3 linked regions of the Rattus norvegicus genome follow. The protein of the gene in region 1 purifies or fractionates together with the protein of each later gene. This does not show direct contact. Links are inferred from orthologs where the notes say so. Each region holds a gene or a part of one and is shown in the gene's direction. Other genes may lie near its edges.

Evidence for each region.
Region 2: the proteins of Pex5 (region 1) and Pecr purify together in Homo sapiens (affinity purification with mass spectrometry; 3 studies listed by BioGRID, with this or other methods). This does not show direct contact. The link is inferred for Rattus norvegicus from reciprocal best matches to the Homo sapiens genes PEX5 and PECR.
Region 3: the proteins of Pex5 (region 1) and Acox1 purify together in Homo sapiens (affinity purification with mass spectrometry; 3 studies listed by BioGRID, with this or other methods). This does not show direct contact. The link is inferred for Rattus norvegicus from reciprocal best matches to the Homo sapiens genes PEX5 and ACOX1.

The regions. Positions count from the first base shown.
Region 1 is NC_086022.1:158,979,793-158,984,184, reverse strand, and holds the start of Pex5 (peroxisomal targeting signal 1 receptor), read left to right. Parts: upstream 1-1,451; 5' UTR 1,452-1,641; intron 1,642-1,688; exon of another isoform or gene 1,689-1,835; intron 1,836-2,174; 5' UTR 2,175-2,190; coding exon 2,191-2,337; intron 2,338-2,804; coding exon 2,805-2,840; intron 2,841-3,236; coding exon 3,237-3,369; intron 3,370-3,539; coding exon 3,540-3,671; intron 3,672-4,392.
Region 2 is NC_086027.1:81,365,701-81,369,344, reverse strand, and holds part of Pecr (peroxisomal trans-2-enoyl-CoA reductase), read left to right. Parts: intron 1-1,498; coding exon 1,499-1,632; intron 1,633-3,003; coding exon 3,004-3,169; intron 3,170-3,644. UniProt on the Homo sapiens protein: Participates in chain elongation of fatty acids. Catalyzes the reduction of trans-2-enoyl-CoAs of varying chain lengths from 6:1 to 16:1, having maximum activity with 10:1 CoA. Has no 2,4-dienoyl-CoA reductase activity.
Region 3 is NC_086028.1:101,913,098-101,916,741, reverse strand, and holds part of Acox1 (peroxisomal acyl-coenzyme A oxidase 1), read left to right. Parts: intron 1-1,517; coding exon 1,518-1,678; intron 1,679-2,441; coding exon 2,442-2,549; intron 2,550-2,889; coding exon 2,890-3,009; intron 3,010-3,370; coding exon 3,371-3,486; intron 3,487-3,644. UniProt on the Homo sapiens protein: Involved in the initial and rate-limiting step of peroxisomal beta-oxidation of straight-chain saturated and unsaturated very-long-chain fatty acids.

The DNA.
Region 1 (4,392 bases):
GGAGGTTGGTAATATCTTTCTCATGGGAGCATTATGAAGATTATGATTAAAAGCGTGAATGCTCACCAAGTGCTTAAAGCAACACCTGGGGGTTAGCATGCATTTCATAAGCATCGGTTATTATCACAATTACTCTCCCAAGATCGTGGCCCAGTAAATCTCTGCTAATCAGTTACTAACCTCCTAGCACAGTAGGAGGTTATGTGTGTGATGGACTTTGAGTGCTTCTGGGAGATGCTTCCCCGATGTTCAGAAATTCAAACCATCATATGCTTTCCTTAAATACTGATTTCTCCAGAGAGTCTCCTGTTTAAAGTATTTCTCTTCCAAGAAGGCATCCTCTCCTCCTTGGTGTGGTTCAGTTTATTGGTTGCTAGGTTTTTTTTCCTTACAATGGCAGCCTGGAAACAGTGGACAGGTCTGGAATTTGTGGTCAAGGAGAATGGGGGTGTGTGTTAGGGCCTCTGAAAGATATTGACAGTGTACTAAAGACAGAAACATTGCACAATATTCTGCCTTGTTCAACCATTGTAGTTATAAGGGCAATTTCTATCTTCCCAGGGATGAATTTACACAGACTGTGTTCCCCGAGGAGGGCTACCTTTGAAATCTTCAGGGCAGCAAAGAACCAAGCTTTCCCGAGGGCGCCACCTACCTGCTTCTTCTCCCGCTACCCGGGCGGGGACCGTCCTGTCTCTCTAGAACCAGTTTCCTCCTAGCCCACCTACCAGCACTCTGAACCCGTCCCCTTCCTTCCCAGGACGTCAAGAGGTCCGTTGGTCTTGGACCTAGGTGATATATCAAGGTTTGTTTTCCAGTGACCTTGAGGTTTGGCACCGGCGCCAGTTCTCTGGCAGATGGTGAAGCCTGAGGCTTAGGTTTATATTCCCTGATCAAAGGTATTCCTTGCCACGTTTTCCCAACTCGGAGCTGCGGGTAATCAGGCCATCACGACCTTGACCAGTAGGAAAGAGGAGAGAGGAGTGACTCACTTCACTCTCCCCATCCATTACCGGCTTGAGGTCTCAAAATACGTTGGACCCTATTTTAGTCACCAGAATTTGTCATCATCCGGCGCTATTTTCTTCTTTACGCAAAAATGGTAGAGGCAGGCCCCTGTCTCCTTGGAGGCTGTGACGCTGTCTTGAAGGAGCATGTTGGAAGGGGGTCAGGCCTAGGAGGCCGAAGCAGGTCACGATTTGACCTCCGAAATCCCCCGGATTTAGAGGAGGAGGAAACCCAGGAGAGAGAGCTGAACCGTGGAAAACCTTGGTTTTCCTCTAAAACCAGAGAAGCCTCTCCTAGCTCCATTCCTTTGAGTTTTCCACTAAATAAATCCCAGCATTCTAAGGACTACTGGAGGACTCCCCAAACCAACTGCCTAGGACTTCCCCTTTAAGGCTCTCGGCTCCGCCCATCACGCTGCGCAGGTTTGAGGCCCCGCCCCTTCGCCCGTTTCCGTTGAGCTGGGCCGCAGCGCCGCGGTCCAGGCCCCTTTAAGGCCGAGTCCCTCCCCCTTGCTCCCGCCCCCTCCCCTCCCCCAGCCCACCCCAGGTACTCCGGCCGGCCGGACGGTGCGACCAGCGGCGGTGATCTTTGGAGCCTAGGGGGCGCGGGTCCGGGCAAGTCCCCGCCGCTGCGGTAGCCTCGTGGGGCGGGGTCGGGGCTGGGGTGACCGGGCTGGGGGCGCGGGGCGCGGGGCACGGGGCGTGGACAGGCGCGGCGGGGGAGGGGGCTCAGGTGACACGAGCTAAGATTGAGACCCGCAGCGCCAGCCTGACCCGGGGTGCGGGTTCCGGTGTGCGGTCGGAGGCGTTCCCGCTCTCCCTTGTCCGGTTAGAGTCGGTGTCTAGTGTTTACGATGCGTTACCCGTGCTCCCCAGGGGTCCAGGCCCGTTTGTAGAGCTGCTGCTGGCGGGTGGTGTCTGAGATGCGGTCCTGACGGCTGCAGGGGTAGCCCAAGCCCTGAAAGCCATGGCTTGGAGTGGGAAGACAGGAGGACACAGCCTCCTCTTGGACGCCAGACCCAGCTGGATGGGGTCCATCCAGGGGGTGGCCCTGGAGGCCTGGCCCTTGTGGAACCGTCGTGGGCCCACCTGCTCTAGATAGGGGCTGTTGGCTTGCTTTGGGAAAGTCTGGCTCCAGGACCACAGTTCTAATCTTCTGTCCATCAGGGAGCTGGTGGTCACCATGGCAATGCGGGAGCTGGTGGAGAGCGAATGTGGGGGTGCCAACCCGCTGATGAAGCTGGCCACCCACTTCACCCAGGACAAGGCCCTTCGGCAGGAGGGACTGAGGCCTGGCCCCTGGCCTCCAGGAGCCTCAGCGGCGGAAACGGTGAGTGTTCTAGAGCAGGAGAGTCCATTCCTTCAGCCTGGATAGCTGCTTTCTCTGTTGTTAAAGTAATAGTCGCCACTCCGTAACACTGGAGTGAGCATTGTGCATCTTTACACAGACGAGGACTAGTATTTTATAGACAAAGAAGCGGAGGCTTGGGCTGGAGAAATGGCTCAGTGGTTAAGAGCACTGACTGCTCTTCCAGAGGTCCTGAGTTCAATTCCCAGCAACCACATGGTGGCTCACAACCATCTGTAATGGGATCTGATGCCCTCTTCTGGTGTGTCTGAAGACAGCTACAGTGTACTTATAGAAATAAATAAATCTTAAAAAAAAATAAAAGAAGCTGAGTCTTTGTGAAGACTCTTTCTTGACTTACCTCAGGTCACCTAAGCAGTAGAGTTAAAGTTGGGTTGTAGCCTCTGGCCTTCTCACTCTGTGTATTGCCTCTTTCCTTCCTGTCTTAGGTTTCCAAGCCTTTGGGAGTAGGCACTGAAGATGAGGTAAATAGAACAAGGTTACTTCCTGTCTTTTTCTTTTTTTGACTCATGGTGATCTTTTCTTTTCTCTTCCTTTCTTTCTTTCTTCCTTTCTTTCTTTCTTCCTTCCTTCCTTTCTTTCTTTCTTTCTTTCTTTCTTTCTTTCTTTCTTTCTTTCTTTCTTTCTTTCTACCTTTATAAGCAGTCTATGCATACTTAACTCTCTTTACCGAATGAGATTTATTTGCCAGTGTTCCCATCTACTTTTTTGGGGTATTTTTCTGTTTTCCTAATTTACGGATAGAATTTTTTTCTTTATTTATCTGTAGTTTTTGTTTTTCTGTCCGACATCAGTGGGCCCTGCCCCTGGCTGAGGCCCCTCTGATCCTAATAGTTCATCTGACCGTCTCTCTGTAACAGTTGGTGGCAGAATTCCTGCAGGACCAGAATGCAACTCTTGTATCCCGAGCCCCTCAGACCTTCAAGATGGATGACCTCTTGGCGGAGATGCAGGAGATTGAACAGTCAAACTTTCGCCAGGCTCCTCAGAGAGGTGGGTTCAGGACCTGGTGAGAAGGGAAGAGGCCAGAAGAGTTTGATTTTGCTGGTGTCGGGGGAACTGAGGTGCAGAGGAGACAAGGGAAGTGTGGTCCAGGAGTGAGCGTGAAGGAATGATAGAAACCTGCTTTCTTTGTTTCTCACTCTTCTCTTGTTTCTCATAAGCCCCTGGTGTGGCAGACTTGGCTTTGTCTGAGAATTGGGCCCAGGAGTTTCTTGCCGCTGGAGATGCTGTGGATGTAGCTCAGGATTATAACGAGACCGACTGGTCCCAAGAATTCATCGCCGAAGTCACGGGTGAGGCTCCTGGGGAGATCTGTTCTGTGCGGTGTCCTCATTCTTCTTGGGAGGGTTCGACTGCTAATGACTTACAGGTTCTTGGTTCATTTCTGTAGGATGTTAAATGTGACTTCTTAGAGCAATTGCAGGTAATCAAAACATAATAAAGAGAAATGTGGGTTTGGGTGGAGATAAAAAGAGAGAGGAAGCGGGGAGGAGAGAATGAACGAGAGCTTAGAGCTGCCTCTTTATCAGTAACTTAAGTTGAGTAGAGAGGAGCTAGAGGTTGGATGGGTGGCCCAGGAAGAGAGAAATAGTTACCACGGCATCTAGGACTCTGGCATTCAGCCGTCTTGAGTAGAATTGGGATCTGGGGAAATAGATTGTGGAGTCCAGAGCCCTGAAGTCTGGCTAGGCCACCTGAGTGTGTGTGGGCTTCTCATCTGTAGATTGAACCAACTGTGGATAGAAAATGTTTGGAAAATTTTTGTCTGTACTAAAAGTATACACACCTTTTGAGTTTCTAGACAGCATCTCTGTAGTCCAGGCTGTCCTCCAAATCCCCATGTAACTGAGATCTTCCTGCCTTAGCCTCCTGAGCTCTGGGACTACAGGTATGAACCACTGTGCCTGGCCGTGCGTGCGTGCGTGCGTGCGTGCGTGCATCTGTGTGCCTGCATGTGTTTTCATTATTTCCTAATTGATAAAATTACTGTATCTACAACATTTACATTATATT
Region 2 (3,644 bases), on another chromosome or scaffold:
GTGTGTCTGAAGACAGCTACAGTGTACTCATCTATAATAAATAAATAAAATATTAAAAAAAATAGTTTGATATTTCCAAACAACGTCTTAAAATTAAGACTTGGTCCTGGAAGCCTTTCTTCTTTGGCTAATGCCACTTCCCTGCCAATGCTACACTCTTTACCCAGTGAAAGATTTTGTTGGGGGTGGTGGTCAACAGATTCCCTACTCCTGGTACTGAATGCTGGGTTCCTTCCCTGGCTCCTTCTGAAGGGCTCCACCTTGTCCCTGTCCTTCCATGCACGGATCTGTGCTGGCTTGGATGAAATCCAAGCAAGACTGTAAAAATCCCCTTCATTTCTCCTCTCCCACGACTCATGTGACCATCTGCCTAGCCTCCTTGAAGTCCTCACTTCATCTCTCCCACTTCCAGAGACTTCCAGGCTGGGAATAAGTTTATTCTGTTCTGTAGTCTAGAAGCTCTCTACAGTGATCATGATACCTACAGTCTGGGGGTCTTGATTGCGTTCGTTTCCCTGCAATTAAAGAACTAAAAGGCACACAGGTAGCAGCAGAGAGAACTCACCCACCACAGGCACACAGCAGCAGATATAGAGAAAAAGATTCTACAAAGCTGAAGGAAGACACAGGAAGTGAAAAATTCCAGTCTCTTCTTGAGGGCTGGAGATTTTTTTTTTTTTAAGTCTCTGAAGAGTTTTCCTCCAATAAGTTAGAAGATGGCTGATTGGCCCACAACTATTGAGTAACTTGATCCTGCTTTGAACTTGTTGGCCCAGTCCATCAGCCAGGCCCTTCAAGCAGGAGAAAGGGCCCACAAGGCCTTTGTTTTAAGCTGCCAGACTGTTCTCACAAGTCAGTGAGGGTGAGGAAGAAGCCAGCCCAAGTTCACCACCTAGTCTTGGCGCCTCTCCTATCTGTCCATTTAACTCCCCGTCTCATAGTACTATGGTTTGTCCATAGGTCCCTTCTTGGACTTGCGTGCTCTCAGAGGTGGCTACTCATTTTTAGTCCCGTGGCATTTGACATTGAATATTTCAAAACAATTGTCCCTTCCCTGTCCTGTGTGTGTGTGCGTGTGTGTGTGTGTGTGTGTGTGTGTGTGTGTTGTCTAGCTTCTTAGTCATTTCTGTTCCTATTGCTTCAATGTGTCCAAAACCAACCTAATTCCTCTTCTACTGATACCCTTTACAGGAATACACAAAACAGTTTTTGTAGTTTAGATAGCTTTATTTATTTATTTTTATGTGTACATGTATGTGTATTTTACCTATAGGTCTGTTTATCACGTATGTGCTTGGTGCCTGTAGAGACCAGAAGTGGGTGTCAGATTTCCTGGAGCTAGAGTTACAGAGAGTTATGAGCCACTATGTGGGTGCTGGCTACTGAACCTGGGTCTTCTGGAAGAGCAGCCAGTGCTCTCAACCTTCCTTCTAGCCCCTTAGTTTGGACAGCTCTTAGAAGCATGTTTTCTTTATTCCTCTGGCTGTTTTCACCTTAGGGTGTAACGTGGTCATTGCTTCCCGGAAACTGGACAGATTAACCGCTGCTGTGGATGAACTGAGAGCCTCTCAGCCTCCCTCCAGCAGCACTCAAGTCACCGCCATACAGTGCAATATCAGGAAAGAAGAAGAGGTAAGACAAACATGGCTGCGCAGTGTGCTTACCCAGTGTCCTTTGCTGAAGCGGTGCCTGACCCCTGCTCACTAGAAGGCAGAGCCTGTAAGGACTGATGCCTGTGCTCCCAACTTACTGAGCTGGTGACCTCAGAAGGAGGGAAGCTAAGCAAAAATGTCCTCTCAGCTAGAGACCCTTTAAGGCTATGGTTTTCAACCTTGTAATCCTGTGACCCCTTCATACAGTTCCTCATGCTATGGTGACCCCCGACTATAAAGTTATTTACACTGGTACTCCACAGCTGTAATGTTGCTACAGTTATCAATCAGAATGTTGACATCTGGAATGCAGGATATCTGATATGAGATCCTGTAAAAGGGTTATTGGATGCCCTCCTCCGAAAGAGGTTGTGACCCCAGTTTGATAAACACTGCTGTAAGGCGTTTCTTAATGTTCATTTTGACCTGGTTTCATCTTTTTTTTTTTTTTTAAAGGTCGGCACTTAGAAATTAATGCCACTGAGGTTTGCTGTGCTTGGGGTTATCCGTACTCACCAGTGTGTCTTGCCATCAAAGTTAGAATCTTGGCTTATGAGTATAGTGAAAAGCTCTCAGGGAGAACTTTCCCTCGGGATGGAGACCCTCCAACTCCAAAGACCAGACCGAGACACCACAGGATGCAATCAGCAAGAGGATTTGGTTTATTGTCGGGATACACAGGCACAGGCACCTGCGGGCGCTTCAGTCACTCGGGGGACTGGCGTGCCCCACGGAACCAAGGATGGGCTTTTTATAGGATTTTGGGGAGCAGAAGCAAGCATACAGAAGCAGATGCATGGTTACAGGGATATACTTGGTGGATTCTAATGTGGCAAGGGTTCAGCCCAGGGGCAAGTTTCCTAGCTACCTTCTTGAAACATAACCACTGACTCGGCCCCCCAAGGGTTCAGCCCGGGGGCAAGTTTCCTAGTTACCTTCTTGGAACATAACGGCTGACTCGCCCCCCCCCCCCAGGGTGTGGGACCTCTCCCGGGGCTTTTCTCATTGTCAGGTGCTCAACCGCAGTCGTCCTGTTGCCAGGCCTTCAACCAAACATATCTTGCTTGGCAGCTGCTGTGTACTCAGTGTTCTAACCTTTCCCTGAACCAGTCATCTTAAGTACAGCCTTGCAAAATGGCGTTACTGCTGCTAAGCTGGGGTCTTTCATTAGCACAGTGGGAAGTTCGCACTGTGGGGTGTGGGGGTTTAGTCATTGGTGGCTTTATGTGTTTGGGTTGTAGTATTTAGAATTAGTATGCATTATATAGGAGTCTATAAACTGCATTGTATTTCTAAAACCGGGCCATGCCGCAGGATAGCGATTAAACTTTCTCTCTCAATGTTTCTTTAGGTGAATAATTTGGTCAAATCTACCTTAGCTAAATATGGGAAGATCAACTTCTTGGTGAACAACGCAGGGGGCCAGTTCATGGCTCCTGCTGAAGACATCACTGCGAAGGGATGGCAAGCTGTGATTGAAACCAACCTGACTGGCACCTTCTACATGTGCAAAGCAGGCGAGTGTCTCGAGAGCCACGAAACCCAGACGTGTCCTTAGTGGGAATCCCAGGGAAGGCTGGAGGAGATGCTAGGGACTCAGAAGCCCACACCAATAGCGTTCATTTGATATCTCCTCTCTCTCTCTCTCTCTCTCTCTCTCTCTCTCTCTCTCTCTCTCTCTCTCCCTCTCGTTTTTTGAGATGTGGTTTCCTGTGTAGCCCTGTCTCTACTGGAATGCCATCTGTAGACCAGGCTGACCTTGAAATCAGAGGTCCACCTGCTCTATCTCCCAAGAGCTAGGATCGAAGGCCTGAGCCACCACCGCGCAGCTAGCTTGTGCCTCTTTAGAAATTTATCTTTTTATTTCAGTAATATGCTCGTATGCCTGAGTATATATATGTGCACCATGGCATGCAGTCTCTTAATGAGGGGAGGATAGGCATCAGATCACTGCAGCTGCACTTTTGGATGGATGTGAGGCACCGTGTGGGT
Region 3 (3,644 bases), on another chromosome or scaffold:
GAATAAACCCAAGGCAAATTGTTTTACCACTGTGCTATACTGCCATTCCTAGCATTGGCATTCTAAAAGCTTGGAGAGTTCATGAATGGAAAAGGCATCTTGGAGTTGGAGAGATAGCTCAGGGGTTAAGAGCGCTGGCTGTTCTTCCAGAGGACTTGGGTCCAATTCCCAGCACCCACATAGCAGCTCACACCCCTGACTGTTATTCCAGTTCCAAGGTCTCCGACACCTTCACACAGACACACATACAGATAAAGCACCAGTGAACATAAAATAAAAACAAATTATATATTAAAAAAAGAAAAGAAAAGAAAAAGGTGTTCAGTTTGGTTGGTTTGGTTTGGCTTTTAAAGGTAGGATTCCTCTGTGTGGCCCAAGCCAGCCCTGAACTTGAATTCTTCTGCCTCTGCCTCCTGTGTGCTGGGATTACAGACATGCATCATCACAAGCAGCTCCACTGATTGGTTTCAGTGACTACAGATTCCTAGGGAGTCGCTAATGTGTCACAAGAGTCCCCACAGACCTTTCACCCACGCTGCCTGTAGCCAGCCTTTTGGGATTTCCAGTTTCCATGTTTCTAAGAAACATGCGGATTTTGGATGTTCTCAACCCATGCTGGGCTTGAAGGTTAAGCTCGCCAACCAGAGACAGGACTCGGTTACAAACCCTTGTCCTGGTCTGCCACCATCGTTTTGATGCCATGTGGCATGTGGCTGTCCACTTTCCTTTATTCCCTGTGAAGTGGGGGAGAAGCACTGCGTCTCTTGGGAGCGGTTAGCTGGAGGCGCTTGCCCTGGAGAGGTCCAGGTGAGCGCTGCTTGTCTCCAGCCCGGCTGAGATGGAGCAGGCTGAGAGGGTGAAAGGTCTGTGCTCCAGGCTCACGTCTAATAGCATAACAGTGTACCACAGCCCGTCAGGCGCAGGTCTGTGCTCACCGGCTGTAATGGCTGTCCCTAGGAGCTGCATGTCTTTAATTGCTGCCGTTATTGGGATAAAGAGCACTGTCAGTTTTTGTGTTAATTTGCACAGTAGATCCTGGTTGAATATTTGATCTGGTGAACTTGAATGAATTAGACTGTGGGTCTGTCCTAGATATTTCCTGAATAAACAGCACCCCAGTCTAGACACTTCCCTGATTGCATCCAGGAAAACCTTAGCCGGGGTTCATTGTATCACCCAGAGAACTGCCGTGTTCTCCTGTTTCTGTCCGCCGGCACCAAAGGGCACCTTTGTGCCCGGTCAAATCTCCTTTTCAAATTTTTCATTTGCTTTCGTTTACCTGCCGGGCCAGAGTCTTACCTTCTACATGATTGAGGCTCTGCTGACATAAGAAAGACAAACATTGTCGAGAATCATAACACAGAAAAGGACAGTGCTCGCATTGTGATGAAGTGCACCTGATCAATTCGTACTCACAGTTTGTTTTTTCTCCTTCCCCGCTCTATCCGTTCACGTCTCTGATTCTTACACACCTGATGCTACCTCCCTCAAATGCCCGTCCTGGTATTTCTTCGAAGCTCTGTGCACCGAGGGCATCCTGAGCCTTTGGACCTTCACTTGGGCATGTTCCTACCCACCTTGCTTCACCAGGCCACCGCAGAGCAGCAGGAGCGCTTCTTCATGCCGGCCTGGAATTTGGAGATCACGGGCACTTATGCGCAGACAGAGATGGGTCATGGTACAGTGTGTTTAGTCTACCTTCTACAGGCCTGCCTCGGTGGGGCTGAGGTGGTGATGATTGCTGTCTGTCTGCCTTCCCCACAGTTCACTAGAGTCAGTGTTGTTGTGTTTAAACATAGGAACAGGACCCAGGCTGGCAGGGTGGCTCTGTGGTAAAGGCATTTGCTGCCGAGCCTGATGCACCCCCTTCCCAGACCCACACAGCAGGCGAAAGCTGACTCCCACACATGGCTGTGGCTCGTGTGCACGTGTGCACGTGTGGCACAAATGTACACAGAGGAAATGTAAATTTTGTTTCTGTTTTTGAGACAGGTTTCTCTGTGTAGCCCTGGCTGTCCTGGAACTTTCTTTGAAGACCAGCTGGCCTCGAACTCACAGAGATCCTCCTGCCTCTGCCTCCCAAGTGCTGGAATTAAAGGAGTGTGCCACCGCTGCCCAGTGGAAATGTAATTTTAAAAAAAGTACAAGAACTGGGTTTAAAGGGAAGCGGCCACCTCTGTCACACAGAGGAGTAGTTGCCTCTACCTTTTCTTTTGATTAGTCTCAATAAATATGGCACGTCCACTGAGCCACACTCACAAGCGACACCCAGGACACTGCTGTTGTGGCCTAGGGGTCACTGTGTGACAGGACAGTAACTGCTGTGCCCGTCACTCACAGCTTGTCTACTGCTGGTCTTTAGCCTCCTGAGGCCCGGCTGGTCTGTTTTCTTGGTCTTTTTCCTCTGTGCTGTACTGAGGCCACGTGATGTCTTTCCTTAGGAACTCATCTTCGAGGCTTGGAAACCACTGCCACATATGACCCCAAGACCCAAGAGTTCATTCTCAACAGCCCTACTGTGACTTCCATTAAGTGGTGGCCTGGGGGACGTAAGTTGGATTTTTTTTTTCTTTAAACATGTTTTGAATGTTTGTTGTTACTGCCGAACATTTTGAGGACGTATGAGATTGTGATTGAGGCAGTTTATTAAAGAGAAGAAAGGCGTGCACTGGAAAGGAAATGAGGTAAAAGGCAAAGACAGGTCCAGAACCAAAGCCTGCATTGCACCAGAGAGCCATGAAAATGAAAAATCAAAGGACAAGAGCACAAGCAAGTGCGATTCATACGTGTAATCCCAGCGCTCGGGACTTAGAGGTGGGAAGATCAGAAGGCGAGACCCTGCCTTGAGCAGGGACGCACACTTCCTGTCCCCGCTTCTTGCTTTTGCAGTTGGGAAAACTTCCAATCACGCAATAGTTCTGGCTCAGCTCATCACTCAAGGAGAGTGCTACGGGTTACATGCCTTTGTTGTCCCTATCCGTGAAATTGGGACCCACAAGCCCTTGCCAGGTAAGGATTGTTCTTTGGATATCAAGGTAAAAATTAAAACTGCAAGGGGCTGGAGAAATAGCTTAGCAGTCAAGAACGCTGGCTGATCTTCCAGAGGACCAGGGTTCTGTTCCAGCATTTACCTGGTGGCCCGAAACCAGCTGTAACTCTAGTTCCAGGGGATCCAACACCCTCTTCTGGCCTCCTGGGGCTTCAGGCATCCATGTGGTACATGGGCAAACATGCATGAAAAACACCCACGCACAAGATGACGAAAATAGGTGAACTGCAGGAGTGTAAGGCACAGTTAAGTGGGGCGGAGGGAAGCAAGGACGAGAAGCACGCATGCACGCATCACAGTGCTTCTTGTTGTCTGTGGTAGGCATCACTGTCGGGGATATCGGTCCCAAATTTGGTTATGAAGAGATGGATAACGGCTACCTGAAGATGGACAATTACCGTATTCCCAGAGAGAACATGCTGATGAAATACGCCCAGGTTTGTTGTTTGGTAGTAGATTGTTATTGGTGAAGCCGTTCTCACCGAGTATCCCAGACCAGCTAAGGCGAGGTTCAGAACAGTCCTTCTGGCCCAGTTGCAGAAGGTGATGGGCTTTTACTTCTGACAGAGACTTAGAAGCGGTTGGGATGTGTATG